4 linked regions of the Arabidopsis thaliana genome follow. The protein of the gene in region 1 interacts with the protein of each later gene in a biochemical or structural test. Each region holds a gene or a part of one and is shown in the gene's direction. Other genes may lie near its edges. The genes, in order: TTG1, BHLH32, TTG2 and GEM.

Region 1 (8,229 bases):
GTTTAGAGTTTGATTAAATATTTAATGAACTAGACAGAAATTTGTCGTGATTGTTATCTTAGTACTTTTATTAAACAATGAACATCATTTTCATTTTTATTTTCATTTGGCAGAACAATGAATACAAGTATACAACCTGTTAAATAAGACAAGTACCCATCAAAGAATGATTTTCTTGAAACTAAAAAATCGAAATTTAAATTCGAATAATGTGAGTTGTATAATTAGAAAATCTTCCATGCAAAGTGTGTATTTTGGTACAAATTGTGAGGTTGGGATAAGCAGAACACGTGTGGTTGAGATAAGACATTGTGGTATTTTTTGGGGCGACGAAGAGATAAAGCAGGACACGTGTCCAAACGAAAACCACTGTCCGTATTCTATCCAAAATACGGGGCACGATCGTATGTGGAAGTGGTGCCATCATGGTTTGGGACTTCAGACTCAGACAGAGTCAATCTTGATAAGTACGTACACTCATGTGACTCTTGTGCCGTGTCTCACACTTCTAATTAATATCTTGTTTGATTTTTTTCCTTTTTTAAATCAAAATTTTAACTATCAAACTAGTTAGAATTTTTTTTCGGACACTACTTGAATTAGATTTGTTTTTTCGGACAATACTTGCATTTACCTCTAAGAATAAACTCTTACTTTTAATTTAAACTAGTTATTATATCATATTATATAATAAACTAAAATAACAAATCTGTATACTTTTAATTAAACAAGATTAATTATATTTAAAATTTAGATTTTACAATTAAACAAAATTATAAGTCAGTTTAGATTTATAAATATAAATTAGAGTTTAAATTTACAATAAAACGAAATTATTTTTAGGTTTGGGTTTATAAATAAGTCACTAGAGTTTAGATTTAAAATTAAACAAAATTATATATCGGTTTGAGTTTAAAAAAGTGTTTAGGGTTATAGATTTAAAGAAAGTAGATGTTAGTTTGGATTTATAGAAAAATGTTTAGGATTTATATTTGACATTTAAACAAATTATATGTTAATTTGGATTTATTAAAATTAGGTTTAGATTTTACAATTAAATAAAATTATATCTTGGTTTAAGTTTATGAAAGAATGATTAGGATTTAGAATTTATAATTAAATATATATGTCGGCTTGGGTTTGTAGAGATTTTGTTTCTATAATTTGTTTTATTTTATTTTTATTTTAGTTTTGATTTATTTTAAATATAGTATGATATGTCATATTGTTTATTATTATTATTTAATTAAAAAGGGGTAAATAAAAGAGGTTCACCTCTAGGAGTGAACCCAATATATAAATTTTTTTCTGTCCAAATGTCAGTCTATTATATCCAAAAGATTTTAAATATTTGTTTATCAATATTACAAATTATCACATGATCTTTTTCATGTTTTGTTTTTATTCATACATATCCAAGAGACTTTAAATATTTGTTTATCAATATTACAAATTATCACATAATATATTCGTGTTTTGCTTTTATTCATATGATTCCAAAAATCACTTATTAAAAGCTATTCATTTTAAAATTGTTCCAACCTAAAAATCTTTATTTTTAAAGTCTTTTCAGAATATTAGACCAAAAATATAAATACATTTTAATAATATATATGACCAAATTAATTATTTAAAACTCTTCCAGATGCATCATTATATTTTAAAAATCGAGATGTTACATATGTGTTAAACTTTCTTTTTTGTCTTCTTATGTGATATCAAATTTTATGATCTTATCGATTTTAATCAGGTATATCTTGGTATAGCCTTAGATTTCATAATCGCATATAAAAATCATAAATTATGTAGAAACTAGTTATAATCAAATAATATTTATTTCATATGGTATACCAAAATTAAGTATTCAATTGCTACGTGGATATTAATAATTTGAATTCGGTAACATACTCTTTTTCTTTTTGTTAAACCAAAGAATCTCAAACAAAAGTTTTTGATCATAGTTACTAAATCATTTTTGGTGAATAACCGAGAGAATGTCTCCCGACTTCTATTAAAAAACAAAAATAACAATTACACAATCACTCGTCTTGAACAAACAGGTCTAGAAACATCATCCCGTAAGATTTCATCCGCACACCGGAGAACATAAACAAGAGCATAAAAGCTTAAAGACAAGCATAGTTTGTTAACATGTCCGTAAAATGATTAGCCTCTCTATATGTGAAACACGGTCAATCTAGTTTTTCGATAAAAAACTATAGCGCAAACGTACTGGAAATGATAGCAGATGAGAGTCCCATAACCTTGTCTTCAAAATCTCAACCACCATTTACCACAAATATGGGGATGAAAACAGGCAAACGGTCTCATACGTTGTAAATAAGCATTCTTAATGTCAAGTTGGTAGATAGGCCATAAAATAAGCATCCTTATGTTTAGCGCATAGCCTCCACACCATTCACCCTCCTCATTACGTATCAGACCACCACCAGCCGCGAGTCTCGAATTGCCATAAAATACCCCATCAGTATTTAATTTAAACCAGCCCATAGACGAGATAAGCCATTTTATCAGCTTCTCAACCCGACCAGCCCTTTGTGTTGCCTTTCCGCTACTAGCTCTCGCCTCCAATACCTCCTTAGCTAACTCTCTTATGAACCGCACCCTATTCTTCCATACTTTATTCTCCCCAAAAACTAGCTAATTGAATTACCAACATTTGATCAAGATAATATACTAGGTAGCTAATTAATGAGCTCATTTTTTTTTGTCGTCAATGGGCTAATTTATTAATTACAGTATGAACTATTGACTATTATTCTAAATAAGTGAATATCACGAGTATGTACGAATTATTGGATGTATCTATTTGTATTGATTGATGTAATATCAAATAGTATGAATTTGGAGTAAACGTGGGTTTGGGGTTGAAGCAGGTAGGGCATGTCAAAGTAGGGCGTCTTTCGTTATGTCCCTTTCCTCTAAATTTGAACCTCTGTCATTGTACAGAAAAATCGTAATAACCCATAAATGTGTTTTAAAAAACATTATTTCGAGTTTTCTACACATATTCTAGTCATGTTTAATTTGAATCTTTTCTTATTTAAGTAAGCTTTAGACATTTTTAACCTAAGTTTTCTTCTCCCTTCATAAATTTTGAGATCTATATAATGTTCTTACATTTTGGATCAAGATCTTCATATTCTCATTCCAATTAGTAAAAGATTTTTTCACCTTTTAATCTCTTATCTTTTATTTATATTCTTTAGTTATGTTTATGCTTTTCATCATATTTAGTGGTTAGTTTTTATTATTTATTTATTGATTCATGACTTATGCTAGATTATGATAAGAATTTATGTTACCACTTGATAAATCCTCCATTTGACATGTGTTTAATGCTAGATTTATATTGTCTCCAAATTTACAACTTCGATGTCTTATGATAAATGCCAACAACCAAATTTCAGATAAAGATTAGCAGACTAACTAAGCTTATTATTCACTTGCAAGGTGGAGTGATGTTGAAAGAACCCTCACAGACACGTCATTGGGAAGACTAAATCTCTTTTTAGCACGTTACACCTTTGAGATCGCGTTTATTCCATATGGAGAGAGAGCAACAATACGAGACATGGAGAGGCACCATTACCGCCGGCGCAACTGCTTCCAAATATTGACAAACAAATTTGAATCTGGATCTTCTCTATTCGTGAACAAGGAGATAGAAGCTACGATGAATGCATGGAAGCTTGGTTTGCTTTAATATAAACACTAAAGGGGAGTAGAACTTTCTTGAAAAATTGTATGCAAATTATTTACCGAATGTTAAAAGCTTTTTTCGAATAAATTTTACATTTTCTTAATAATAATAATAAAAAAGGATTGTTGATTATCTTAATCACAAACAATTTATTTTAGCTGAATTAGACAATTGTTAGTAAAATGATTAGAGTGTCACATATTAATGTTGTTAGTGTTTCATGTCATCCTAGTGATCCAATAATTAGGCCATTCTATAGCTCTTAACGTTAAAATAAAAGGCCCATTATCTGAATATACAGAAGCCCATTATCAATAGATACATTAAAAGATACTGATTAATCCAGAGGGTTTATATCTACGCCGTCTCCATTGATTATTTCTCCGTCTCTTGAAAAATCCGACTGACACTGACCTCAAAACTCTCCTCTCACTTTCGTCGTGAAGAAGCCAAATCTCGAATCGAATCAGCACCACACATTTCCATGGATAATTCAGCTCCAGATTCGTTATCCAGATCGGAAACCGCCGTCACATACGACTCACCATATCCACTCTACGCCATGGCTTTCTCTTCTCTCCGCTCATCCTCCGGTCACAGAATCGCCGTCGGAAGCTTCCTCGAAGATTACAACAACCGCATCGACATTCTCTCTTTCGATTCCGATTCAATGACCGTTAAGCCTCTCCCGAATCTCTCCTTCGAGCATCCTTATCCTCCAACAAAGCTAATGTTCAGTCCTCCTTCTCTCCGTCGTCCTTCCTCCGGAGATCTCCTCGCTTCCTCCGGCGATTTCCTCCGTCTTTGGGAAATTAACGAAGATTCATCAACCGTCGAGCCAATCTCGGTTCTCAACAACAGCAAAACGAGCGAGTTTTGTGCGCCGTTGACTTCCTTCGATTGGAACGATGTAGAGCCGAAACGTCTCGGAACTTGTAGTATTGATACGACGTGTACGATTTGGGATATTGAGAAGTCTGTTGTTGAGACTCAGCTTATAGCTCATGATAAAGAGGTTCATGACATTGCTTGGGGAGAAGCTAGGGTTTTCGCATCAGTCTCTGCTGATGGATCCGTTAGGATCTTTGATTTACGTGATAAGGAACATTCTACAATCATTTACGAGAGTCCTCAGCCTGATACGCCTTTGTTAAGACTTGCTTGGAACAAACAAGATCTTAGATATATGGCTACGATTTTGATGGATTCTAATAAGGTTGTGATTCTCGATATTCGTTCGCCGACTATGCCTGTTGCTGAGCTTGAAAGACATCAGGCTAGTGTGAATGCTATAGCTTGGGCGCCTCAGAGCTGTAAACATATTTGTTCTGGTGGTGATGATACACAGGCTCTTATTTGGGAGCTTCCTACTGTTGCTGGACCCAATGGGATTGATCCGATGTCGGTTTATTCGGCTGGTTCGGAGATTAATCAGTTGCAGTGGTCTTCTTCGCAGCCTGATTGGATTGGTATTGCTTTTGCTAACAAAATGCAGCTCCTTAGAGTTTGAGGTGAGAGTTTCTGTTTCGCTACATAATTCTCATTTGCTAGGCCTAGATTCTAATGAGGAAGCATTGATTATTGGTTTAGATTGTGTTGCATTACAGATAGTCTTCTAGGTTTGGTAACTAAACGTTTTTTCGATTCTTGATAACAAAGCCACTAGAGATTTGACACTAACTCGTTTTAGATTTACCTGAATCAATATCTCTGTTAAAATCAATTACTTTGTTATGCATACATAAATCACAGTTTAGTAGTCATATATATTGGCTCTTATTAGCGACAGGTCTCACACTTGCTGTAATGGCTGATAGTGTAGTAGTCATATGTTGGCTTTCATCTAAGTTGATGTATCATATGATGAATAGTTGTACACTCGTCAGGTTCTAATTTTTACCCATAATTCTTCAGTCTATTTTTTTTTGAGACAATCTATTCTTAATTTAACGAAGCCACTAGCTACGTATACAAATATTGTTAATTTAACGAAGTATCTGAGAATTGTTTACTGCTGACTGTGCTGTATGCCCTCAGAAACATATAGAAGTGGAATTGGAAACTTCATGCTGGTTTGAACATCTTTGTATGTGTGCTTCAGGTTTTTGTAACTCATTTAGACAACAGCATTGCATATATACACGCACATATGCAACCTAGAAAATCAAATAACCTTTCCTTATAATTACTATACATTTCACTTGATGTCAGGTGCAGATGTGAAGTGATCAATAAGGATTTTAGCATAGACCCGTATAATCGTCATGTGCGTAAGTAGGTTTGGTTTGCGCTCCCTCTCGCTTTTAGGTCCGCAATGACTCTGTATCTATCTGATTGTAACTAAAACTGAATTCATTTGATGAACCAAATGATACTATTATCTTATGTTGTGTATAAAACCCAACCAGGATATATTGCGGTTTCTGGTGTTTAGATTTGGTAATTGGAGCTTAGTACAATGCAACCCTGTCTTGCTTTATTGGACGTCTCTAAGATAAATCAGCTTGCAATGAATTCCAATGGAGTTTGTCAGTTTGAATTAACTTCTTTGCATAATTAACACAAAGATTTGCAGTATAAATTCCATTGGAAGACTTATTTGTTTATTTGACACAGATTTAAATTGAATTTCAATGGAGTTTCAGTCGACTATGTGACACAAAGATTTGAAATGAACTCCAATGGGAATTTGGTGAGTAAATTATTATAAACAATCCAATGTTTGACACAAATATTTTAGAATCTTCACATCTGAAGTCTTATAAATCGTAGCAAAATTTTCAATCTTGAAAATTATAAAAAATGAGAATTAATTTAAATCACTGATCCGATAATCTCCTCTAGAAATATAAGAATCTATAAACCATTAATAGTAGAATTCCAAAATGTTATAAATCTATATACTATAAATGAAAATTTTACTTTTTAACTTTTGTCTCCATAATATCATACCATACTTAAAATTTTATTTATTTTATTCTAATAATCACAATGTGTTTCTTTGTATATAAATAGAGTTTTTCTAATGGTTTGAGAAGTGATTTGGAAAACATGGATACTCATATTTTTTTCAATTTATAAGATGATCAAAATAGAAAATTTAGCTTATGAAATCTTTTAGATTTAGGAACAAATGTATACTCTAAAATGTAACTATTTGACATGTGTCAAAATGTTTTTAAATTTGTTGTGATCTTGTTACAATTAAGATCAAGCTACTTGTCAGATTTTATGTGATGGGTTAAATTTTACAAAATTCTAGCCCAAATATAAAATACCTACGTCCTCAAAACTTAAAATGCAAGCGATAATAATACAACTTAGAGTACAAAGAGGTTAAAGGTAGATAGAATGTCGACCAGTGAGCTCGCCTGCACTTATGCTGCTCTCATCCTCCACGATGATGGAATCGAGATCACCGTTAGTTTTCTTCTCTTCTCTCTTTCTTCAAATTTGTTTTCTAGCTATTGAGACACTGTTTAGCCTATGTTTTAGTCTCTAGAATCGTCATCTCTCTTTTCTTGCCTTGTGGTTTCAAACTGATCTCACTTAAGTGTTGTAATAATGTAAAATTATTAGGCTGAGAACATATCAAAACTGGTGAAAACAGCCAACGTGAATGTCGAGTCATACTGGCCTAGCCTCTTTGCTAAGCTATGTGAGAAGAAGAACATCGACGATCTCATCATGAATGTAGGAGCCGGTGGTTGTGGTGTGGCTCGTCCAGTTACCACTGCTGCTCCTACCGCTTCTCAATCAGTCTCTATTCCCGAGGAGAAGAAGAATGAGATGGTATTTATTATCACATTATTAATTACAACAAACTACTAAATCAAATACTAAATGGTATAATTGTTTTATAATCTTAGGAGGTGATCAAAGAAGAGAGTGAAGATGACATGATAATCGGATTATTTGACTAGAAGAGCTTCTTTTTCTTTGCTTCCAAATTTTATGAATTTTGCCTCATATGAATATTTTGATTATTTACAATTTATTTGATTGTTTATGAGAGACAACAAAAATAAATCAAATCTATTATTGGCTATTGTTTAATAAATATATACAACAACAAAAATATGGGGGAATTTCTTTTTCAATGTTTTTTTTTTTTTTGTCATCCGAAAATTAATTAGGACTCAAACGAGCCAATCCTGAGGAATGTTGTTTACAAATATAATATGAAGCGGTTGGGTACGAACTTTTCGTGCCAAAAAATCCGCTTTAACATTAGTACTACGAGAGATTAAAGATAGAGAAAAATCCGCTTTTCAATGTTTTTTGGTTTTAGTATTTTTGGATTTATAAAAACAAAACCATATGAAGACGTATTTATTGTTACCAAAAAAAAAAATGATAATAAGAAGACGACGCGTAGTTGAACTCAGGATTTTCATTTGTAGTTTTCCTGTAATCCAAACGGCGCACTGTTTTTAAATTCACAGCAGAGAGAAAAAAAACAAAACAAAGACGAGCCAAGATTTGTATCTTCGTCGTCTCCGATG
Region 2 (7,833 bases), on another chromosome or scaffold:
GTAAAACTTACATTTTTGTAAAAAATTAAATTTAGTTGGGGTACAAATTACAATGTTTTCAACTTATATAAGAGTACATTTCACTTCGTAATTGTTTCTCAATAATTTCTCCATATAAGTTTCATTCAATTTCGCTGATTTATTTTGTTATACAAATTTTTTTACCACACTAGTTTTTTTTTTTTTAGTTACAGCCAAAGTAACGAACTGATTTGGTTTTAAATGAGCCATGCTTGTCAAGATGAAAATGATTTTAGCTTTTTCAAAGGCCTTTTGAACATGAACACTGACTTTATTTTAAAGGTAATGATTATAGGTTTCTTCCAACAATGGTTTCCTATCATATGATTCTTCACCATAAAATTATTACATTTTATGGACCAACAGTTAAGCACATACTCGCTAAAGGGTATGGTCTCGTGACAATATTAATATAATATATTGAAAAATGTATTTTTGTTATATAGTATTGGATACCGTGAAACATTATCAGGTTATGTCCATAGTCATTAGAAACTAGTATTATTATTGCTGCTTTTGATATGATGTTTATCACTTTTTCAGTGTATAAAATATGGCTTCATGATATATATACCTTTCGTATACTTGATTTTGATGCAATGTTCATTCTTTTCGTAAATACTAGTATTAAAATTTAGTTAAGTCTTCTAGGTAAGTTAGTTAAATCTAGTACGCTGTATAGTTTAAATAGTACTTCAATCGAACAATTTGTTTTAATACATCATGTTTTTATTGGTGTATTAAACGGAGCAATATTCATGCATCTTGTATTTTAATTAATTAATACTATTTTTAAAAAATCAATCAAAGCATGAATACTCATGGAAAAAAATCTATGATCAAGTCCTTAGTTGAGTGATTTTCACAATTTAAGGGTCGGAAAAATATTTTATAACGTCTATATCAATATGTGATCTGCTTTTATACAAAAAAAATATATAATGGATTAGTTAAAACATGGTGGAGTCAATTATATTAAAACATTACTGATAAATATGCTTTTTAACTCAAACATAGCAAATCAAAAATAGTAAACCTTCACATACAAATATTTATACATTTATAAACGCATGAATATACATTTTTATAAATATTAAAAGGTTTCTGAGTTTAATTCATGATTAATTATAACTAAAGATACTAAAATTCATAAGTAGATTGAAGTAGCTCAATTGAACAAATCTCAGCAAAATACATAGTATATATGAGATGTAAATTCGATTGTTCAAATGTCTTTTCATTAGGACCTGTGTAAAAAGTTTTCGAGAGAAGAATTATAGCGAGGTTTGTTTCAAGTTTCAACAAGAAAAAACAGAAAAGAATCATGTATATAAATCAATCAAGTACTGATAATATAGAAGTATTATTGGAAACAAACAAGAAGAGAAGTAAATTCAAAGACAAAATGATTTAGAATTCTTGGAGAAGGAAAAAGAAGAAGACAGCGTGGAGAAAGAGCCCAGAATGTTGAACGTCGTGTGGGCTTCACTCTGCACCACCACCCCAAAACCCTAGTTCATACCCTATCCTATAATTTATACTCAAAATTTTCTCATTTCTTCTATTATTTATCACCATTCATATGGAAGTATATATTTAATGAAGAATTTTCGGATCTATAGATCATTATATGTAAAATCAGTTTTTGATAAAACATGTGACAGTTTCACAAAAATAGTTCATCTTTCACAAAAATAGTACTCGAATCCGGTAGCATTTTAGTATCCTACTATTTAGTTTTTCCACTCCTTTTCATTATATATATAATGATATAAGTCTTTTTACCTCTTTTTCATAAGTCTTTTTAACTCTTTTTTTCTTTAAAAATGATTATATGCACATCTACTTGATAAACTGGCGGATGGTAAACTTGAGTTAGGTTTGAGAATTTTCACTAATTATTTTAGGATTTGAATCTTCTTTAGTATGAGACAATTAAGCTAACACACTCGAAGATATATTCAGATCATAATCAAAATTTATCCGTTGGATATGTATGAATAGATTAAATAAAAGAGAGAATCTCTTCGGTGCACTTGAGACAAATCTATAACATAGAAAATCTTGATTAGATTAAAAACTAGATTAAAGAAGGAAAGAAAAACAAGAAAGTGGGTTTGGCTATACGAAACGAGTGGGATTATTAATGATTAAAAGTAAAAGTCTTTTTGGTCTCTGGTCGGTCGACAATCCGTGTGTCCTGTGGTCAGTGTTTGTTTTTTATTCTTTTGGTTAATTTTCGAGTATTATTATGCTTTCCACTGAAAAAACAAAAACATTAAGCAGCCAAATGAAATTCTTTTAACGCGTTGTTTCAGAACCTGATGAAAAAACAATAATCATGACCTCTTTCTTCTTCCCCTTTAAATGCATGTCAAATTGTGTAGGAGTGTTTGATTATATAAATTAAATCTACTTTAGTCTTCTCTTCTTTGTAGAATTGTAGAGTCGTGGTATAAACTCGAAAATTTCTTATTATACTTATAGAAATTAGGCAGACGAAATGCTCTTGATTTGCTTACAATCTTAGATTAGGTTTAACCCAAGATAAAAAAAAACTTTGTTTTGATGAAGAAAAACACCTTAGTTACAATTTTGGACATCATCTTTTATTTTCACAGTTAGCATCTGAGACTTTTTTTTCTTTTCTTAAATAGAGTTCTTAGACAATATCTTTTGGGTCCCTGATCATGTCAAATGCCAAAAAAATAAATAAGTATACATGATTGTGTCTATTTGACCATTCTAACTTCTAAAAGTTTCAAATGAAATAACTTTGTCAACTATTATTTTTGCCTATGAATTAGGTGCTGACCAGAATCATCTTGCTAAAATCATGATTTTCTACTATTGCATATTATTCTTGATCGCATTTCACAGATCTTAATATATACGAAAATAACTGTATATATTATCAACTGTTACGATTAATATATAACCATGCATATCGAAATATTTTGAATTAGTATTTTTTTTGCTAAATAATATTTTGATATAGTGGTGGCGTGGTATTCCTCATTTACAAATCGCATGAACTTTATCCTAAATACGATTAACTTAAGTAGAAAAGGCACAAAAATCTTCTATTCATTAACATGAAATCAATTCTTAAGAACATAAATAAATAATAATATTCATAGGAAGCCAAATCCATCAGAGAAATCCACAAGATGATGACAGCTCCCCATTTAGAAGTCGTAAAAGAAAAGCAAAGAAGATGTGCAGCACTTGCAGTTTCATTTGTTTTGTTAGATATACCAGAAAAAAAAAAAGAGTGGTCCCATAAAAACCTGTAATATATAACATTTTAATCAAAGAAAATGATAGATTTTTTTATTAAACAGGAAAAACCACTAACTTTTAATTAAAAAATTTGGAATACAGCAATACATCAAAAATCCATTAACGGTACATTATAGTTGAAAATAAATTCAGGTTACATAATATTTTTTGCGTAATCACTATACTATTCTGCCATTTTATATGGAACTAAGTTCATACGTTATTTCTCACAATTCTCCTTGATGTGATCAAAGATAATGGCGGTCTGATTGTATAACCCGGTGAAAAAGGTTTTTTGGAAAGAATTCTTTAATATTAAAATATCAAATAAATTTTGTTTAAAAATTAAGGACACATTATATAGCACTATATATACACATGTGTATGCATTATCAAATGGGATGTTTGTGACCTTTTGTCTCTTCTTCTCTAAAATTCTCTTTCTCCCAAAAACTAAAAAACCAAAAAAACCAAAAAATGTACGCAATGAAAGAAGAAGACTGTCTTCAAACATTTCACAACTTACAAGACTATCAAGACCAGTTTCATCTTCATCATCATCCACAAATTCTCCCCTGGTCGTCGACATCTTTACCTTCTTTTGACCCACTCCATTTCCCATCTAACCCGACCCGTTATTCTGACCCGGTTCACTACTTCAACAGAAGAGCTTCTTCTTCCTCTTCTTCTTTTGACTATAACGACGGTTTTGTCTCTCCTCCTCCTTCCATGGATCATCCTCAGAACCATCTAAGGATTTTATCCGAAGCTCTTGGACCCATCATGCGTCGTGGCTCGTCCTTTGGGTTCGATGGTGAGATCATGGGAAAATTGAGTGCACAAGAAGTCATGGATGCTAAGGCTTTAGCTGCTTCAAAGAGTCATAGTGAAGCTGAGAGAAGAAGACGAGAGAGAATCAACACTCATCTTGCTAAGCTGCGTAGTATATTACCAAACACAACCAAAGTAAGTCGTTTATAAATAAACACTCTTCTCCTTTCATTATGGTTTGATATTTCAGAAACTAATTCACTATTTTGAAAACCCTATGGAAAAATAGTTTTAATTAATTAATGATCCTTCAAAATTTCTCTTTATTTAGTTATTATTGGTTAGAGTAGTAGTAATTGTTGTTGTTTTTTAATAAAGAGAGTAGTAGTAATTGTTCTTTTTCTGATAAATATAGTACTAATTATTCAGTTTCAAAAATGATAAGTACTATATTTTTCAATATTATCATTTTTATCTATCTCTGTTCAACTATTATCGTTTAGTAGTTGTAAATTTTCAAATTTAAAATAAATGTATCAAATCGATATTTTTGGTAAGTAATTATAGTCCACAGATGGGGTATTTTTGTACTAGTTATTATTATTGAAGAAGAAGAATAAGAAGATTAAATACTTATGATTCGTTTTGGTTTTGTATAGACGGACAAAGCTTCTTTGCTAGCGGAAGTGATCCAACACATGAAGGAGCTAAAACGACAAACATCACAGATCACCGACACGTATCAAGTCCCAACAGAGTGCGATGATCTGACCGTAGATTCGTCTTACAACGACGAGGAAGGAAACTTGGTGATAAGAGCATCCTTTTGCTGCCAAGACAGGACTGACCTCATGCATGACGTCATCAATGCCTTAAAGTCTCTTCGTCTTCGAACTCTCAAAGCTGAGATCGCAACCGTAGGTGGTAGAGTCAAGAACATCTTGTTCTTGAGCCGAGAATACGATGATGAAGAAGATCATGATTCATATCGTAGAAACTTCGATGGTGATGACGTGGAGGATTATGATGAAGAGAGGATGATGAATAATCGTGTGAGTTCGATAGAAGAAGCGTTAAAGGCGGTTATAGAGAAGTGTGTTCATAATAATGATGAAAGTAACGATAACAATAACTTGGAGAAATCATCTTCAGGGGGTATTAAGAGGCAAAGGACTAGTAAGATGGTGAATCGATGTTATAATTAGTTAATTAAGTCAAGTCTTTATTAACTAGGGTTAGTTAATTAGACTTGCAAAATGGGATTTGATTATGGGTTGGTGATATTAGTATTATTTTCGGTGTTTTTAGTAGTTGGGATTGGGTTTCTTCTTCTATGTTTTTTTAATCTATGAAGAACCCTTTGTTTAGGGTTTTATAGTGATGAGTTTGGTTTATATATGGTAGTTAAGACATTTTATCGTCTTAATTAATATAGGAAATGTATAGAGCTTGGGTTTGTATTAATTTATCAAGAAGTTTTATTTATCATATTCATGAACTCTGCAACTATTTAATCTTTTGTTTATAAGCAACAACACTACGTAGTAATAGTATAGAGTATAGTTTTATACTTGTCAATTTATTTTCTATTGTGACTGATATAAGAGAAATGACATAAAGAAATCTCTTACGCATATCCATTGTTATTTTTTCTGACAAACTACAACGATTATGTCGAAATCAGTTTTTAAATGTGCATGGGAGAAATAGTCTATGTCGTACTTACTCTATAATTTATTTCCTCAGTTTCTACATATTTTTTAAAACCACAATTTTTTCTTCACATCCGATATATAATTAATGTGATATTTCTTAAATTAGATTGATGTAGAGAGTTATGTGACGGAAGATTTGTGTAAGTTATATCAAGTGAAATCGAGAGTAGTAGTAGATCGAATCTTTTTCGTGAGAAGTGAAAACTTAGATCTTAGTTCTATTTATAGAAACTTAGTTTTGGGATCTCTGATAATATTGTCTCTTTCGCCGTTACTGACTTACGTTATTTATTACAATATTACAGAGACGGTTGATACCACAAGCACATTACGTCATGATCTCGTCATTTTGTATCTACTGGTTTTTCCTTTAGTCCAAAATTCAACGTAGAACCAAAAAAATGGGCTTATTAATTTGGTGTTTTCTTGAGTCTTATTACTTAGACAGCTTTAGACAAATTCTGTATTCCGGTCCAACAGTCGGAAATTTAATCCACTGAGGAAAAAATTTCAACAAAAAATATATAAATGGTAAAATATCGGCAATATTTAATAATGTAACAGGAATATGAAAGAAAAAAAAATGACAAAAAATAAAGAAAAGACTTTACAATTAAGAATTACGAGTTAAAAGGCCAAGTTTTCTAGACCCAATTTTGGCCCAAGAGATTCGATATGTGCTTTTGAAGAGTGTATAGCCGGTGGGTGATGATATCATTTTGACCCATGGGCTGATGTTGAGGCCCAATAAAGAAAAAATATAAAAATGGCCTATACAGGGATCGAACCTGTGACCTTCGCGTTATTAGCACGACGCTCTAACCAACTGAGCTAATAGGCCAATCTGATTGTAATTCTCGTTTTAGATATTAATAGATGTAATATAGACATAGTATATGAACTTGTGAGGTTTAGAAATATAAGATAATCAAACAGATTGACGATAATTGTCTTATAACAGTTGACATTAAGTAAGAAATTTTCTTTTGATGTCTATAGAGTATAAACATATCTATTATATAATACGTTGAGAAAATAAAATCATGTGCTATGTTACAGATTAGAAGAACACAAATATGAATGCACCTGGAGAGAAGTCCACCAAGTGTTGAAGTACAAGGAAGTGAACATACAAGTATGTGGACCAATAATGTTGAATCTTTTTTAAACATATGTATAATAATAATATCTGAAACATTGCATGAGACCGAAGACTACATCTACATGCAGACCAAAAACACTTTAGCTAGTTGGAATTTGTGATTAGTTGGAGACAGACACCATAAGAATTATGAACATAATTCCGAACAATGAACTTGGTTTATAAACACATGACCATGCGAAACAAATATACTGGTGTGAAAAATGAAATAGCAGAATCATTTATGGAACATAACTTAATTTTTTTCTTATAAAGATTTGCATTAGCCTCCCGAAATAAATAACAGAAATCGCGACTCCAATAAATTTTATGACTAGTGTAAAAGTTATGGAATCATTGAATCTTGAAAGCTATTGAGTTCTTGAAACAAGACTAAAAATGGAAATAAGATATAGTTCACAAATGTTACGTGGGAATGTTTAGTTCAATTGGGTAATGTAAAATAAACCATTAAATCGGAAACTCCATGATGTGAACATCAACAAATAAAATTTGGACCCAGAGGTGAGAAAGTGACAAGAGAAGAGGACGATGGTTCCGGTCACGACGGCGACGGTGGTAGGACCGCCGTGTTGGCCCGCCGCACGTGATCGAGCCTATCCTCTTGTCTTTTTGACCTTTCAACTTCTTTTGTCTCTTCCTCATCAATAACTTTGTGCGTCAAGATTTTCTTACTGCAGACAGATTTTTTTCTCACTGCACATAGATGGATGTACAAAACAACAAGAGAACCGAACTTAGATTCTATAGTGACAATTGCAATTATAGTTATGATGTATCGGGATAATACTTTCTACCATACAGTTTCTTTATTATAGATGAAAAGATTTTATCAGTCTAATATGTATAGTCTAAGCTATGTAACTTTATCATTCATATAAC
Region 3 (8,100 bases), on another chromosome or scaffold:
TACATAGATGGTCATAACGTGAGAAGCAGCAGCTTAAAACTGCTTACGCTTACAAAAATTGCGTATTCAAAATGTTGTTTACCTGATCGATGCTTCCCGGTCCGATCAGAACAAGAGCAACACCAGATGCATCCATCACATCCTAAACAAAAATCTCAAAGGTATCACTCAATGACTTCAATTGTGTATAAATGGCCAATCTTTTTAAACCAAAGATCATTCTGTTACCTTCTTTTCTGCAAGATAAGCTGCTCGTTTCCGACAGAGCACACATCTGAAAACATAACAAGCAATCTTAGATAGTTACACATAGTCATAAACCAGAATCATCAAATATAATGAGAAAATTACCCAAAATGACGAGCAAATGCAACAACGGCCTTCCTATCTTTCCATAAATCAGAAATCGGAATCTCATTTCCTCTCAAATCCAAGACTTTCACTGTATCTAGCGAATCAGCTGTACCTTTCCCTATTCCAGCTCCTGTGGAGAATCAATATAATCTAGTAAGTAATCTAGAATCTCCGTATTCAATATAATATAGAAAGAGAAGACACTTAAGCTCACCGGAAGAAGCTCCGGTAATGGCCGACACGACCACGGCGCTACGCCGGAGAGAGACACTACGAAAGTGAGATTTGACCGAATAACCAGGAAGTACTGTCCCTAATCCATGAATCGTCTTCAGCTTCGGCTGCAGAGTAATGGACGTGATCGTCGACGACGACGAGAGAGCAATCGCCATTGTTGCTTCCAGAGAAAGCTGAAAATAATAATAATCCCAATTTAAAATCGAAATCGATTTTCTCATACCGTTGGTTAATCTCGTGGAGTTGGGTTATTACACGTGTCAGATGATGTAACCATGATCTCAGAGAAAAAGTCACATGCCACGTCAGTTAACTTTAGGGCAAAATGGGAAAAGAATCTAAAGAGCATATGTTCGTGCACGTTCTTGTTTAGGGTAAGCTCAAAGCTCAAGCCGCTTCTATCTCTCTACATTTCTCTTTCTGCAATGGCGAGATTAGTGCGTGTGGCTAGATCCTCCTCCCTCTTTGGCTTTGGTAACCGTTTCTACTCTACTTCAGCCGAAGCTAGCCACGCGTCGTCGCCTTCGCCGTTTCTTCACGGCGGCGGAGCTAGCAGGGTTGCTCCGAAAGATAGAAATGTTCAGTGGGTGTTTTTGGGATGTCCTGGTGTTGGAAAAGGAACTTACGCTAGTAGACTATCAACCCTTCTCGGCGTTCCTCACATCGCCACCGGCGATCTCGTCCGTGAAGAGCTTGCATCTTCTGGACCTCTCTCTCAAAAGGTGCGACCTTTTTTTTTCTTTCCCATTTTCTGTTACTGTGATTCTGATGGAGATTCTCTTCTTTGTTCGATTTTGGATCCATATAGTCTGAAATTGAATGTTTAGCTAATCGGACTTTCATTATTGGATCTGAAAATTTCCGTCTATCTCTCGATAGATCTAGTGAGCTAAGTCCATTTGAAAGTGTTTCTAACTACATTTGATCAGTATCATAACAGATCTATTCATATATATTAAAGTCAATGGCTTTGTTTTGTTTGTTATCTGTATGCATAATTGTTAAACAATCTCTTGTTACTTGATGCAGCTATCGGAGATTGTAAATCAGGGAAAATTGGTTTCTGATGAGATCATTGTAGACTTATTGTCCAAAAGACTTGAGGCTGGTGAAGCTAGAGGTGAATCAGGGTTTATCCTTGATGGCTTTCCTCGTACCATGAGACAAGCTGTAAGTATTATTCGTTTTAAGCAATTTTTGATAATCAATCTCCATTATCATTTCTAACAGTGGATTGTCTTTTGGTTCAGGAAATACTGGGAGATGTAACTGACATCGATTTGGTGGTGAATTTGAAGCTTCCTGAGGAAGTTTTGGTTGACAAATGCCTTGGAAGGAGAACATGTAGTCAATGTGGCAAGGGTTTTAATGTAGCTCACATCAACTTAAAGGGTGAGAATGGAAGACCTGGAATTAGTATGGATCCACTTCTCCCTCCACATCAATGTATGTCAAAGCTTGTCACTCGAGCTGATGATACTGAAGAGGTGGTGAAAGCAAGGCTTCGTATATACAATGAAACGGTAAGCCCCTCTATTGTCCTTTTCCATTGCTAGTTTATGAACGATCAGGTGTTAATTAGTGCCTTTTTGTATTTTTCTATATGCAGAGCCAGCCTCTTGAAGAATACTACCGTACCAAGGGAAAGCTTATGGAGTTTGACTTACCTGGAGGCATCCCAGAGTCATGGCCAAGGCTATTGGAAGCTTTAAGGCTTGACGATTACGAGGAGAAACAGTCTGTCGCAGCATAAGTTCACTATCAAATCCCGGTATTTAAAATTCTTTGCATGTGGAATACATATGCGTAATCAATTTTGTGTTGGAAATAAAAGTAAAAAGAAAACCTTAGATTGTTTTTCACCTCAATAGAAATAATCATACACACTTGCGCAAACTATTATTTTTCCACCAGCCGGGGATTTTGGCTCCATGAGAGAAATATGATGTATCATGATTGTTTGAGATTGCTAGTGACATTACAGGAATGTATCAATACTTCTACACCACTTGTTATGCATTGAGTTTAATCGTTATGCTCTTGTGATATGTTTTTTTTGGAAAATGTGATGAATGATGATATTGCGGCTGGCCGAGCTGGCTGGTTAAAGAACTCAACCAGACAGTAAAGTAAAACAGCCGCATAGATTAAACGGGAACTTATAACCAGCTCTTGACTGTCCTAGCATTGGCGGTGCGGGATAGAATCGTTCCTTACATCATGGAATTGATGCTCTCATTATCGGTCATTGTGTATTACTTGCTCTGTTATTTGTTGTGATCAAAACCTAGCTTCTGTTTTACGTTTGCCGTCTCTGAATTTTTTTTTGGTTTTTAACTCTCCCTACGTGAGTATGGATGGTAAATACAGATTCAATTTGAAATGCTGAACGGGACTTGGCTCATAGCAATCTAAATCACAGTGACAAACGTGTACTTCGATTGCCTTTGTGATGGTCAATCAAAGCTGTAATGTTGTTGGTTTTTGACGCTAACCGGAACTAAACTCCTTTCACTGAGAGGTCTCGATGAGAGAAATCATTGTCATGAACGAAATAATTTAAAACATGATTTAAGATTACAGAAAATGCCTAACGCAAAATTATTGACGAATCACAAGGCAAGGAAGAAGTAGAGAGGAGAGTTGATAAGAAAAGAGAAATCTTCATAGAAACTAAAACTGTGTACAAGTGTTTATATACATTGATTAAGCTTCAACAATCTTCTTAATTAACCACATTGATTAGCTTCAACAATCTTCTTAACTAACCTAACATATTAGTTAGACAATTAATAATGTCAACTCCAATATTTGTTGAAACTCCAATATTGTTATAAATTGCAAGCTAACAAAGTAACAATTGATAGGTTTAATAAATATTTTCGTCAAATGATCATTGGGTAGTGGTATTTAATAATATTTTATTAACTCATGTAGTGAAAAGTATTGGACAAGATGACTGAATTTTCTTCGTCTCTTATCTAACAGAGGTGTAACCGAAATAAACCGAATTCAATTTGGTTGGGTTGAGTTAAAATAAAATAAGTTGGTACAGTTCAGTTCACGTGTTTACTTCGAACAGAACAGGCTCGTGCGCGTGTCAACAACCAATAAGTTCTTTTGGTCGCTGTAGTCTTCAACTAAAACCAAACGACACCGTTCCTTGTGGCCGCGTTTTCCAACTAACTTTCAACTTCAACTAACGTTCAACGAGTGTCCATCTCCTCTATCTCTCTTTTTCCTTTTCATTGGCTTCTTCATCACTATAGAGACTAAAACTGACCTTGATCCATCCAACGTTCCCTATACTGACACGTGTATCCATCACAGTGTCGGCTAAAGCTCAAGGAACTCATACCAAGAAATACATCATCATCTCTCAATAATCACAAACCGGATCCGGATCAATTTGGATCCATCAGATTTTCTTCGTTCCCTAACTCCTAAAAAGGAGAGATTCTTCAAATCCTTATCACAACTTCAGTTTTTGCATTCACCGTCGTGAGTGTTCTACTTTTGGTAATGATTCACTAGTCAAGTTTCTTTCTTTATGCTATAACTTGCAACTAGATCTTGTACTAATGGAATTGATGTTTCTCCAATCATCTTCTTTGATTTTGCTCCATCTTTCTTTTCCTAATTTGGAAAAATGAGTCTTTACCTATAGAATCTGATAAATATGTCTCTTACATAATTGATTAAGGTCAAGTAATGGAGGTGAATGATGGTGAAAGAGTGGTAATAGCAAAACCAGTTGCCTCAAGACCTTCTTCAAGTTCTGGCTTCAGGACATTCACTGAGCTTCTTACTGATTCAGTTACCGTATCTCCGCAAACGACTTGCCACGAGATTGTAGACGCTGCTATAAGACCAAAGACTTTGAGATTCAATCAGCCAGTAGCAGCTTCGGTCTCATGTCCACGGGTATCGAGTTGTCTATTTAATTCTTCGCATTGTTATCTTCTTTCCGCATCCTCTAGTCTTGACTCAACTATTTCTGATAATGATAGGCTGAAGTAAAAGGTATTGGAAATGGAATGTCTTGTGATGATGATTCAGATAGCAGAAACTACGTCGTTTATAAACCGAAAGCAAAGCTTGTCTCCAAAGCAACCGTCTCTGCATTGGCTAATATGGTAAGTTGATTTTAAAGCTAACAAGGTCACTGACTTTCGAATGTTGTTTAATTCTGTTTTCTTTAGCTTCAGGGGAATCGTCAACAAACTTGGAGACAAAGCGAAGCAGTATCCTATGGGAAGAGTGTGAGCCAAGGTACACATCGAGCAGGTCCTAATCTAGTCCAGAAAGTTCCATCTTTTACGGAATCAGAGACATCTACTGGGGATAGATCTTCTGTGGATGGATACAACTGGAGGAAATACGGACAGAAGCAAGTTAAAGGAAGTGAGTGTCCAAGGAGTTATTACAAATGCACACACCCGAAATGTCCGGTGAAGAAGAAAGTAGAGAGATCAGTGGAAGGTCAAGTTTCAGAGATTGTGTATCAAGGTGAACATAATCACTCAAAGCCATCTTGTCCTCTTCCACGGCGTGCTTCATCATCAATCTCTTCAGGGTTTCAAAAACCACCAAAATCGATTGCTTCTGAAGGATCAATGGGACAAGACCCTAACAATAATCTCTATTCTCCTCTATGGAACAATCAAAGCAATGACTCTACTCAAAACAGAACAGAGAAGATGAGTGAAGGTTGTGTTATTACACCATTTGAGTTTGCTGTTCCAAGATCGACAAATTCAAATCCCGGAACTTCAGATTCCGGTTGCAAGAGTAGCCAATGTGATGAAGGAGAGCTTGATGATCCAAGCAGAAGCAAAAGAAGGTAAGATTGTTTCAAACTCTTAACTTCTGCAATTTTGTTTACATTGCTTGTATTGACTTTGTGTTTGATAACAGGAAGAACGAGAAGCAATCTAGTGAAGCAGGAGTATCGCAAGGCTCAGTGGAATCAGACAGTCTTGAAGATGGATTCAGGTGGAGAAAGTATGGACAAAAAGTGGTAGGAGGCAATGCGTATCCAAGAAGTTATTACAGATGCACAAGTGCTAATTGCAGAGCAAGGAAACATGTTGAACGAGCGAGTGATGATCCAAGAGCTTTCATTACAACCTACGAGGGTAAACATAATCATCATTTGCTCTTGAGCCCTCCATCTTCCTCTACTCTTCCCTTTAACTCCCCACAACTTTCTAAGCAAACAATTTGATTTGATGATCCATTCATGCTTTTTCTTTTTTCTTTTTCTTTTTTTGTTAAGAATGAGAAAAAAGAAGAAGCAAATGGTAAATACAATCACCATTTGCTCTTCACTCACAACTTCCTAAGCAAAAGCCATTTGATCAATTCATGCCTGTTTCTTCAATCTTTATACCACATTAGTTAATTAATCGTGTGAATTTATTTGTTTTTACATTAAGATTGTAAGGACAAGAAGATTGATGTTATTTTAACAAATCCAAATAAAAACGTGTGTTATATTTTTTAGGGGTAACTTTCTTCAATATGTTTAGTTTATCGAACTTGAGAAATTTGACTTCATGGGACCATTTCTTTTCTGTTCACGTTGCTAAACATAATGCAATTTCCATCGGTGTAACTCAATTACATTGGTGGTCTATCGAAATCCTCTAGATCTCAGTAACCACGTTGGTATTGTACTACCTTTCCAAGGAACATAAGATAAACTCATAAGCTTAATGAGTTATCTATCCGATACTTGTTTACATTTTCGCGGCGTGAGTCGAAGGGAGAAAGAATCACATGTCAAGATCACGCCTTGTATATCTTGTCCGTAGGATTGAAAGGCGGGTCATGTCTCGGAATTGAGAAGCCCTTAACCACCCGACTTGAGCCATGTGGGCATATACACATGATTTGCCATCCAGAAATGCTACTTACGGTATGGACACCATTGAGCCCAAATGCCTTTAAATGCAATGTACATGGTGCTTGGAAGACTGACAGGGAAATTAGAGGCATTGGTTGTGTCCTTAGAGACTCAAAATAGATTGTTTGAGTTATCTGAAATTTTTCATGGCTCCATCTACATCTTTTATCTTGGAGTAGCAGCAAATTGGAAACCATATAACTACCATGATTTATAGCACTTTAAACTGAAAAATATATAGATGAAATAATTTTAAATATGAAACCGTTTGATGATCAAGATCCCAAGTCGATTATAAGCGTCAAAATTTCATTAAAGATAGAGAGATCATCTGAAACATATCCAAAGCTAATGGAAACAACACAAAAACTCTTTGATATAATGCAAACTTAGAGGAAAGGGAGATCCCTTAACGATTGGCCTTAGCAACTCTCTCAATCTCATCTTTCTTCTTGATGGCATAGCTGCAAGACAAGAGAAGATGCTATTATTAGCTTAACTAACTAACAATAAAGTGAAGCCATCAAGAGACAGACTATGTAGATAGAGTGTTCTTACCTGTTGGAAGATCCCTTTGCAGCATTGATGAGTTCATCAGCAAGGCACTCAGCGATTGTCTTGATGTTTCTAAAGGCAGCTTCACGTGCACCAGTTGTAAGCAAGAAGATCGCTTGGTTCACACGTCTTAGAGGAGAGATATCAACAGCCTGCCTCCTAACCACACCAGCAGATCCAATCCTGGTAGCATCTTCACGTGGACCACTAATTCACATAAAGAACAAACCTTCTTAATTAGATTCAGTTCATAGTAACAAGCACGCAAGAATTTTACAGGTTTCAGTATAGCAATCTTAATATACCTGTTAACAATGGCATCAATGATAACTTGAATCGGGTTCAAGTCAGACAAGAGGTGGATAATCTCCATGGCATGCTTGACGATCCTGACAGCCATCAACTTCTTACCATTGTTTCTTCCGTGCATCATGAGAGAGTTAGTGAGCCTCTCAACAATTGGGCACTGCGCCTTTCTGAACCTCTTCACAGAGTATCGTCCAGCAGTATGGGGAACAAAAGTTGCGTGCTTCGATGGCTGAACACCAATGTAGTCCACAAGACTAATATCCGTAACCTACATAACACCAATATGCAGATCAAAAACAAATATTAGCACACCAATCATATAAAACACAAAAAATACATGACCTTTAGTGTCAAATTAGTGTTATAATCAAAACAAACACAACATGGGTTTCAGTGAAGACGGACAAAGATTATAATAGCTAAGATCTAGTAAGTGACTAAGTGAGGACTATAATTTGATATAATTCACACAATAAAGCTAATGTAACTACTCATATCAATATAAACCAATCATTTCAATGTCTATCATACAGCTAAATAAGAATTAGATCCTAGACAATTCTCAAGTGTCTAAAGAGATATTCTAAGAGAAGGGATTGGTGAGGAATATACCGAAACGTCATCAAAGCTCCAACGGTTGAAGAGCTTAACCTCATTGGTAAGCTGCTGTTGAATCTCAGCGTCGATTTCTGCGGAGGCGGCCATGACTGGAGGATCAATAGAAGATTAGTAAAAAC
Region 4 (9,422 bases), on another chromosome or scaffold:
TAAAGGTTGGATCGACTTAGTTTCGGACATGTTACTTGGAAGGGCCTGGCATGGTTACAACGACCCATCTACGCTCTTAAAATTTGTTATTGAAAAACACATAACAAAGCGAAAGTACATATAAAAGAATTATTTTGATTTATATAAAAGAATAGATATTACACCATATTGTCTCTATGTTCATCTCATCCCCAACAACAACAAGTGTCCACGTCAAAATGATAATAGTAGTAAATAACAAATATGAACGAGAAGAAGTAATTAAAATAAAACAGTAATAGAAAGCAGAGGATCCAAATCCACCAAACTCAAAAGCTCTCTAAGCCAAAACGACAGCGTATAAAGCTCCGGCAACAGCTGTTCCCACAAGGAAAGCTTTGTTAGCCCATGCGGCACTTGGTGCATCAGCAGCACCGTCTGGTCCTGGAGCTGGAGACGAAGTTGGAGTTAATCCAGCGGAAGGACCGGGAGCAGGAGCATCGGTCTGAGGAGGAGAAGCAACCGGGGATGTTGTTGGAGAAGTGGTAGGAGCTGGAGTTGGCTCGTTAACTGGAACAGGCGGTGAAGCAATTGGTGAAGGTGTTTCTGCTGTCACTGGAGGAAGCGCCGTTGGTGGAGGAGTAACGGTGGTTGGTGCTGGTGCAGGAGCTTGAGCGAGACATGAAGTGGCCAAGAAACCAAGAAAGATCAAAGCTTGCATTGCCTTAGAATTCATTTTTAGATTATCTCTTCTTTGTCTGAATCTTGAAACTCTCTCTGTTTAATGTTATAAACTCTTCTTTATTTTTGTTGATGGTGTAGAACAATGAGAGAAGAGAGCTCTATATATACGCGATGGTTGGGAAATAGTTAATAATTAATTATTGGTGTGACACTAATCATGCGAACCACATACAAAAATACAACATGGCTTAGCTTTTCAATGGCGGTTTAAAATAATTGTTGTCTTTTTTCTTTCTTAAACTTGACGTGTTTGAGTTTTTGAAGTTTTCTTGAAGAATCATCTACATGAAGGAGCACCAAACGGATACACAGATCTCTGCCACGTGTTTTCTCTTAACGATGTTAATTCTGAGATCAGTTAAGTATTGACACGTGTTATGTTTATATTGGTTTTTAGATATGATTTGACTCTGCGTAATTTGCTTTTTGGTTAACCGCGTTACAATGCCAGGCGTAAATTAACTTGAGTTTTGCCTAATGTTTCGTGGAAATAACGCGTTTACGAGTAAATAATTAACATTATACGAAAAATGGGTCATTATTTAAGTTCATATTCATATATAGTATGTCTATCAAAATTTTCAACTGTTAATTATTTTAGATGTATATTATAATCGTTTCTGTTGAAAAAAGTTATTTTATATGTTTCGTTGTAATGTGTTATCTGGACTGATTATACGAGCAAGGGCTGGCAAAAGCTGTCATATTTTCATGTTAATTAAATTAATAAATTAGTAGATCATTATAGTTATATTTATGGTTTTTATTTTGTTGCAATATTCTAGTGACAGATTACTTGGTGGCCATTATTGTTACAAACTTACAACGAAACAGTCAAGCAAACGCGCATTGTTCATATTCTACAGCTATATCATTATTACGGTGTGAAATGCTTCATTTCAATAAGAACCTACCTAACAATTATTTATATTCCTTGAATAATAAATTGTTAGACTCTTGCTTTGACCTTAATATGCATTGTATCAGTATCTTCTTCATAAGAAAATTATAAGTTGAAAACTTTTTTCCTGCCAGCTTTGACCAAATGAATATATTAAAAAGTTACCAATAAAGAAATTTTAATTAATTTGATTAGTAGTACAAGTTTGGACGAGGCCTTGGCAGGCCTCTCTTTCTAGCTTTTCGTGGATGTGGCCTAACCTCGTAACTTTTCGTATTTTATCAAGCCCAAAGTAGCTTTCCGTTATCACTTATATGAAAAAATCTAAGATCTAAGGGGAGTTATTGATTAGTATTTTAATTTATAATCTATATACATTAAAGAAAATAGAACATCTTGAAACCTCTAAATAAATACACCGTGCTTAAAAAACTTCACGAGATATTCAATTGATTTTTTTTTGTTTAGAATATTAAATAATCAATACTCCATTAGATGTCATTTACCCAAAAAAAAAAAAAAAAAACTCCATTAGATGTTATTATTGTAGATTGTACCAATAAACTCTGATATATAAGTCCAACAAAACTCCATTAGCAGTAGTGTTGGTAAGCTCCCCATATTCTTGGGCTTTAGTTTCAGAAGATTTCATGTTATCCGTCGGCTTAGTTTATGGAATTATCTTGTTAATCGCCACTTTTATATAATTTCATATATAATCTATCTTTTAGTGCAAAAAAAGTAAAAAAAATAATTTCAACGAAACTCAAGTTTGGAACCGCAATCCAATTATTTTAATCAAATCATTGACTACCGAAATATTTTTCCACCTTCAAACAATCTAAAAAGAAAAATAATTTTTTTGATCAATTCACCAACGTTATTTAGTTTATAAAACATGATAAAAGATCCTCCAAAAATATAAAACCTAGACTTTCCTTAAATTTTAAGAAGTGTACTTTTGTTCACTCAATTTATTATTTCTCTGCCAAATTCTCTATATTCTTCACACGTAATTACTATCTAGTTCTCGTCCATTTCCTTTATCATTTTCTCATTGTCTTGTAAATTGACCACTCTAATGATCTCTATTATTTCCTCTAGAATAGAGTATGATTTATCTCCAATCTATCACTCTATATATAGAGTAATCCTACAATTTTCTCTATTTTAAAGTAACATATAGAATGAGGATGGAGAGAATGTACTATATCATAGAGTTTTAGAGGACAAAATTAAAGTGGGATTGGAGATGCTAAGTATGTAAATTTGGTTCGGTTAGCTATCATAAGGGACCGAGTGCTATATGACAATGTATTATAGGTAAAAGAAGTGATATTGTCTCCTGTAGATTTAGTGTCCTTAACCGTTCATCAAATCTATGTGAATCTCAGTAGTAGGTAGTTGGGTGAAGAACGTGTGAAGTCTATACAACTCATATTACTCCTCAAACATTTTCTGATAATATATTGCATACATTGAACCTCTTTTTAAATTCAAAACATCAAAGGTATTGATCTTACATAGAAAAAAACATAGACTCTTATGTTCATGTCCCTATTGATCTTAGTCATACCTCATAATTGTCTAACAAAGAAAATCAAAGGTATCATAATTATCATCATATGTAATGTAGGGAACAAATCTGTATTTACTGGTATATATATATAACACAAAAAAAATTACCAAAGAAAAAAAAAGAGCAAAGGGAACGATACCATTAGTCCCAATACCAATCCTTGCAAAATTCAAACTCAAACAAACCGTTTATCTCACGCGCCGCCGTACTCGCCACGATCCGTCTTTGGAGACCAATTTATGGAGCCGCCGAAGGGAGATACCGTAGTGAAGACTGAGGTCCCGGTGAAGGATCCATCGCTAAGCGTCGTCGATTCGAAAACGAAGGGAGTCGAGGATGCGAACACTGAGATAGCCTTGTCCGATGAGGTTGAAATCGAGACGAAGGGAAGCGATTCGACACCGGTGAAAGCTCCGAGTCGAACATCGTCTGGATCGAAGAAATCTGTACATTGGAGCCCCGAATTGGTGTCTGGATCTCAGGAACCGGATCAGAAAGCTGCATCGTCTTCTTCGGCTGGATCTAATCCGTATATTGCTCGTTCTCCAGCTGAGACTTCAGATGCTTCGTTGAAAGGTAAGAGTGTTGTGATCGTAGCGGTGAGAATTGAGATTGTGTATTGTAGCCTTATTTACCTTTTTGTGGATCTCTCTCTGTGTCTGTGAATTGGATTCAGATACGATGGAGACTGTGAAAGGAGTGCTTGGTAGATGGGGAAAGAGGGTTGCAGAAGCAGCAAAGAAGACGGAGAGCCTTGCCGGGAACACATGGCAACACCGTAAGTTTTCGTTTTTTTTTAATATCAATTTGTAATCAAATTCAATGCTTAGAGTTCTGTGGAATCAAGAATTGTTCATAGGGTATTGTTAAAAGTAGCTTGTTCTACTCAAAGTCTACATTTTTTTAGAGAAACATAAAAGATTTTTTTTGCTGTATTATGGTTTTCTTCCTTTGTTGTATGTTGGTGTTTAGGTTAGTACTGGTTTTAGGATTGAGTAACTATCATCATATTCGATAGTGCTCAAGTGTATTTTTATGATCTTCAATTCTTTGATCTCTTTTCAACATGTTGTTGCTATAAAATGGGACGTTCTTACTGGCTTGTGTTGATAAATTTTCTTAATTACAAACAGAACACTCCCCTGAATTTCAGTCTTTAGGCAGTACATTAAAAGACAATGACCTTTGATCTTGTTGAGTTCTTGCTAAGAATAGTAAACGGACTATTTTAGTTATGGAATCATATTGTGTTGGAAGAAATATCTCGGTTTTTCTCAGGTTTATCTTCATAAATAGTTTAGAATCACAATTGTTCTACGTGGATCTCTTGCCTTCGATTTGTCTCCAGAACCAAGATTAATACCACATCTGCTCGGTATTAGAGGATGATCTTTTGATATTGTCAAGTTTGTGATCACAGTAATTAAAAAATCTCTGTCTTGGATTTGAACAAGAAGATTCTCCCAGTTTCAGTCTGTCAAACTTTGTAGCTTGACCCATGACAAGTGTTTATAAGAGAGTCGGAATAACCTTAAAGCTGTTTTTTCTCTGTGTGATGTTTGCAGTCAAGTTTTTAGTAGATTGTCTGGTAACAAATAAAATATCAGATTGAAATTAGGTGCTCTGGATTAGGTATTAGTTGCCATGTTACTTCTTTGGAACTTGGAATTTTAATGCCTTTGGTGAACATTAATCAAAAACGCCATTTGACGAATTAAGAGCTGGATATTAGTTTGACCTTCGGACATGGTCATTCGTGATGTAGTCTAAGTAGTAGGGAATTAGCTCCTAGTTTTGAGATCAAAAAGCCTTTTTGCGGACTGAAGAATTACCACTCTAATCAAGTGATGTTCTTGGTGGTTTGGTGAATGTTTGAGCAATGGAGGTGGAGGGAAAATGTCTGATGACTAGCTAAAACTATAGAAATTGGGGAATTAAGAAAGTTTACACGATTAAATTTATGTTTAGAGTGTTCATGTGTGAACTCTATAACTCATGTCTTCCTTGATTGGGTGTGTTTTAGTTGTCCGCTTCTCTAGCATATTCTATTCAGGATTCGTTTGAGTGATCTCTCTTACAATCTTCTACTTTAGTCAGTGAGAACTGCTCCAGTTTTTTTGTATTTCATATCATGTTTGAATCGATCTTCTATGTTTAGCATTGTTGGAATGGATGTTTGCGCTCAAATATAGTAGATCTTTTGTTAAAGAAGTGAAATATTGAATAGATGCTCCGGAACAGATAGAGTTGCTATATTGCTTTTAGGAACTTGGATTAGATAATACATTTGGATGAACATTAAAAAAAAAAGAAGAAACAGCCTTTGGTGAGTTAGGAGCTAGAACTGTGGATATGAGTTTCAGCTTGGGACATGGTCGTGTTATGGATAGAGATGAGTTCCTGGGTAAGTGTTTGAGTAATGGAGTTTGAGGGAAAATGTCTAATGCCTGCATTTACATAGTATGGACGTAAAGTTTGAATTTGGGTGACTGAGAAAAATAACATGATTCAATATACGTTTCAATTGTTTGTGTGTGAACTCGCAATTCATCTCTTCCTTGATTGGATGTGCTTTACTTGTTTGATTCGCTAGCATTTTCATTCAAGATCTATCTGATTGATATATCTTATAATCTTCTCTTTTTAATCAGTGAGAACTGCTCCGAGTTTTGCGGATGCTGCAATGGGAAGAATTGCACAGAGTACAAAGGTCTTTGCAGAAGGAGGATATGAGAAGATATTCCGACAAACCTTTGAGACAGATCCCGAAGAACAGTTGCTAAATTCTTTTGCATGTTACTTGTCAACATCAGCTGGCCCAGTTATGGGAGTTCTATATATATCCAGTGCCAAACTTGCTTACTGTAGTGACAACCCTCTCTCCTATAAAAACGGTGATCAAACCGAATGGAGCTATTACAAGGTAATGTGTCCTACACCTTTCATTTCAGAATTATAGCCATTTTGAAGACACCATATTATTACTTTTGTGATCATTAACTGTTCGAAATCTGTTGGCTGGTTATCTGGTCAATGCTTGAGACAATGTTTCGTTATAATTTGTTAGTAGCATCAACTAAGGAGCCTTCGTAGAGTGATTCATTTGGATAGAAAAATAATCTGGACTTGTTAACGGAATCATAAATCCATGGACTTTTTTTTTGTGATAGTAATAACATGATTGCATCAGCTTCTCATCTCTTGTTTCATCGAAACCAATCCGATACGATTGCATTTGCTTATTCATTGTAATAAGCTTTGCTACATTGATGATTGATGAACACTTTGTGTCTTCTTCTTAAATAGGTAGTAATTCCATTACATCAACTTAAAGCAGTGAATCCATCAGCGAGCATAGTCAATCCTGCAGAGAAGTACATACAGGTGATTTCGGTAGACAATCATGAGTTTTGGTTCATGGGTTTTTTAAACTACGACGGCGCTGTCACGTCTCTGCAAGATTCTTTGCAAGCCGGTGCTTTAAGGTCGGTGTGATACATAACTGGATGACTGATGACCATAAAAGCATGTTGATCTCCACCTCTTCTTGCTTAGTCATATCAGAAGACTCAAATTTTTACATTATTTTGCATTTAATCTCAATATCCTATTTACTACAGAAACTAGCTGAATTTTACAAATTTACTTTAAAATGTTTTATCTTTTGATATTTTTATGAGAAGACAGCTTAATTGCAATTTATTCAATAGCAGTTGCTTTTAGTTTCTATGTTGAAGAACTCTGAGGTAGTAGGATCAACAAATGTGAATTCAACACGTCCCAGGGACAACGGACTATTAGAACCGATTCAAATTGCTTCCACCAGTGACAACTGAAAAATATACCGAACCAGTAGATCTAAGAAACGAAATTTACTCGCACCCATGTACGAAATTGCCGCACAACTTTTGATATTTACTAATTTGCCCCAATAAAGTTCAAAATACACAACTCCTTTGACTTCTGCAAAGCATCAGCTCGAAAAGTATTTTTTTTTTTGTGTTAAAGGGTTTATCAGCTCGAAAAGTATTTCATTATCTTTTCATCGAATCAGATTCAACTTACGAATTATAAGAGCATCTGATTAGGATTTATTCCAAAGATCACTAACTAAATTCGAAATTTATTCACAGAAGTTCTAGTCACTAATTTTGTTGAAGACGATTTTTACATATTTAGAGGCGTGATAAATATTACAGACAAAAAATGAAGTTAGATTTTGTTTCGTACTTCTTCGTTAATCTAAAGAGCCAAAGTACTGTGATCTAACACTGTCGTTGTGTTTTTTTTGTTTTGTAAATTTGGCAAAAACTCCCTCCAAAAAAAAACTTAGTTGACTGAGAAAACTAAGCAAAAAGATCTCCGATCGGAATCTTCTTATTCGCCATGGATGCTCTTTCTCAGGCGATCAGTTCCGGGATCTCCGTTCCTTACAAGAACAATTCTTCTTCTCTCGTTCCTTCTCACGGACTCACCTCCTTAATCCTCCGGAAATCGAGATCTCCGGTGAATCCCTCATCACGATCTCGCGTCTCGGTGCGAGCTTCGGAGATTCAACACAGCAAAACCTCAGCTTCATCGATCGATCTCAGCGATCCAGATTGGAAATTAAAGTATGAGAAAGATTTCGAGCAACGATTCAGCATACCTCACATCACTGATGTCTTACCTGATGCTGAAGCCATTCGTTCAACGTTTTGTCTTAAGATGAGGTCAGATCACTACTTTAGCTTGAGGTACCAGATTCTGGGTTTTGGAAAATCTATTAAATTGGAGTTTTGATAATTTAGGTCTCCGACGGAAGATTTTGTTGGTGGTTACCCTTCTGATGAAGAATGGCATGGATACATTAATAACAATGATAGAGTTCTTCTCAAGGTTTAACTTCAGATTTTTATTTTTATTTTACTGAACTTTGTAAGATTGATTTGGCTTGTTTTGGAAATTAGGTTATTAGTTACTCCTCACCTACTTCTGCTGGAGCTGAGTGCCTTGATCATGACTGTTCTTGGGTTGAACAATGGTAAACATTTGGACTTTCTTTGAGTTTGGATTTGTGGTTCTTTTTTGGTTTTTGGTTATAATTGGTGTGATGGGATCTTTAGGATTCACCGTGCTGGTCCGAGGGAGAAGATATACTTCAGGCCGGAAGAAGTGAAAGCTGCGATTATCACTTGTGGTGGCCTTTGCCCTGGTCTCAATGATGTCATCAGACATGTGAGTTTGTATCTGAAACTTTGGCATTATAGAAACAGTGTGTGTGTGTGTGTGAAGTCCTACTAAAGACCTTTGATTGTTGTGTTGTATGGATACATTGCAGATTGTCATTACTCTTGAGATTTATGGTGTTAAGAACATTGTGGGGATTCCTTTCGGTTATCGAGGCTTCTCTGATAAAGATCTAACTGAAATGCCGGTATTGTTCGATTGTGCTCTTTCGAGAAAAAGGAACCCGAATCTCTGTTTCTGTTTTGGCTTATGGTTTGCTTTTTTGTGCTTTCAGTTATCAAGGAAAGTGGTTCAGAATATTCATTTATCTGGAGGAAGTTTGCTTGGAGTTTCACGTGGAGGCCCGAGTGTGAGTGAAATTGTCGACAGCATGGAGGTATCATTTAGTTTTTTTCAGTCCTTAAGGAACTTTATGAGATCACAGATTCTGAATTCTGAAAATTGAATTTACTTAGGAGAGAGGAATCAACATGCTTTTCGTGCTCGGTGGAAACGGAACTCATGCTGGCGCCAACGCTATACACAATGAGGTTCGTTACTTAACACTTGAAACTAACTAAGTGTAGTTCGTGTGAAGATATTTTTTCTTTTTCTTTTTCTTTAGTTTGTCTAGTTTGATTTACCATTCACATTCTTGCTTTCAATTCTAGTGCCGCAAAAGAAAGATAAAGGTAGCTGTAGTTGGTGTGCCAAAAACCATCGACAATGATATTTTACATATGGATAAAACTTTTGGGTTTGATACTGCTGTTGAAGAAGCTCAACGAGCAATTAACTCTGCTTACATTGAGGTAACTTTCATGTACTCTCATTTAGGATATTCACTAACATGTCTCTTTGCTTTAAGTACTTAACCATTGCTATTTGGGCCTTCTGTATTAGGCACATAGTGCTTATCATGGCATTGGCGTTGTAAAACTGATGGGTCGTAACAGTGGTTTCATTGCTATGCAAGCCTCTCTAGCAAGTGGACAAGTCGACATCTGTTTG

What was found.
Region 2: the proteins of TTG1 (region 1) and BHLH32 form a complex in vitro, tested with the Arabidopsis thaliana proteins (one study listed by BioGRID).
Region 3: the proteins of TTG1 (region 1) and TTG2 form a complex in vitro, tested with the Arabidopsis thaliana proteins (one study listed by BioGRID).
Region 4: the proteins of TTG1 (region 1) and GEM form a complex in vitro, tested with the Arabidopsis thaliana proteins (one study listed by BioGRID).

Annotation. Positions count from the first base shown.
Region 1 is NC_003076.8:8,368,713-8,376,941, reverse strand, and holds TTG1 (Transducin/WD40 repeat-like superfamily protein), read left to right. Parts: upstream 1-4,094; 5' UTR 4,095-4,208; coding exon 4,209-5,234; 3' UTR 5,235-5,235; intron 5,236-5,761; exon of another isoform or gene 5,762-5,810; intron 5,811-5,935; 3' UTR 5,936-6,625; downstream 6,626-8,229. Other genes in the region: AT5G24510 (60S acidic ribosomal protein family), read left to right, coding at 7,076-7,144, 7,304-7,516, 7,594-7,647; AT5G24500 (fantom protein), read left to right, coding at 8,227-8,229.
Region 2 is NC_003074.8:9,365,818-9,373,650, forward strand, and holds BHLH32 (basic helix-loop-helix 32), read left to right. Parts: upstream 1-3,681; 5' UTR 3,682-3,780; coding exon 3,781-4,269; intron 4,270-4,733; coding exon 4,734-5,279; 3' UTR 5,280-5,670; downstream 5,671-7,833. Other genes in the region: AT3G25716 (uncharacterized protein), read right to left, coding at 7,402-7,596. UniProt on the Arabidopsis thaliana protein: Transcription factor required for MONOPTEROS-dependent root initiation in embryo. Transcriptionally controlled by MONOPTEROS.
Region 3 is NC_003071.7:15,640,975-15,649,074, forward strand, and holds TTG2 (WRKY family transcription factor family protein), read left to right. Parts: upstream 1-3,836; 5' UTR 3,837-4,110; intron 4,111-4,294; 5' UTR 4,295-4,302; coding exon 4,303-4,515; intron 4,516-4,516; exon of another isoform or gene 4,517-4,601; coding exon 4,602-4,727; intron 4,728-4,793; coding exon 4,794-5,434; intron 5,435-5,508; coding exon 5,509-5,818; 3' UTR 5,819-6,102; downstream 6,103-8,100. Other genes in the region: AT2G37240 (Thioredoxin superfamily protein), read right to left, coding at 83-142, 229-274, 352-484, 569-746; ADK (adenosine kinase), read left to right, coding at 1,017-1,313, 1,621-1,761, 1,842-2,114, 2,201-2,344; RPS5B (ribosomal protein 5B), read right to left, coding at 6,909-6,963, 7,058-7,261, 7,360-7,631, 7,976-8,068. UniProt on the Arabidopsis thaliana protein: Transcription factor. Interacts specifically with the W box (5'-(T)TGAC[CT]-3'), a frequently occurring elicitor-responsive cis-acting element. Regulates trichome development, production of mucilage and tannin in seed coats, and maybe root hair development.
Region 4 is NC_003071.7:9,538,081-9,547,502, forward strand, and holds GEM (GRAM domain family protein), read left to right. Parts: upstream 1-3,047; 5' UTR 3,048-3,442; coding exon 3,443-3,779; intron 3,780-3,879; coding exon 3,880-3,981; intron 3,982-5,854; coding exon 5,855-6,126; coding exon of another isoform or gene 6,127-6,162; exon of another isoform or gene 6,163-6,509; coding exon 6,510-6,698; 3' UTR 6,699-6,958; downstream 6,959-9,422. Other genes in the region: AGP2 (arabinogalactan protein 2), read right to left, coding at 320-715; PFK5 (phosphofructokinase 5), read left to right, coding at 7,590-7,915, 7,994-8,081, 8,153-8,226, 8,309-8,420, 8,524-8,619, 8,707-8,808, 8,888-8,962, 9,083-9,223 and 1 more.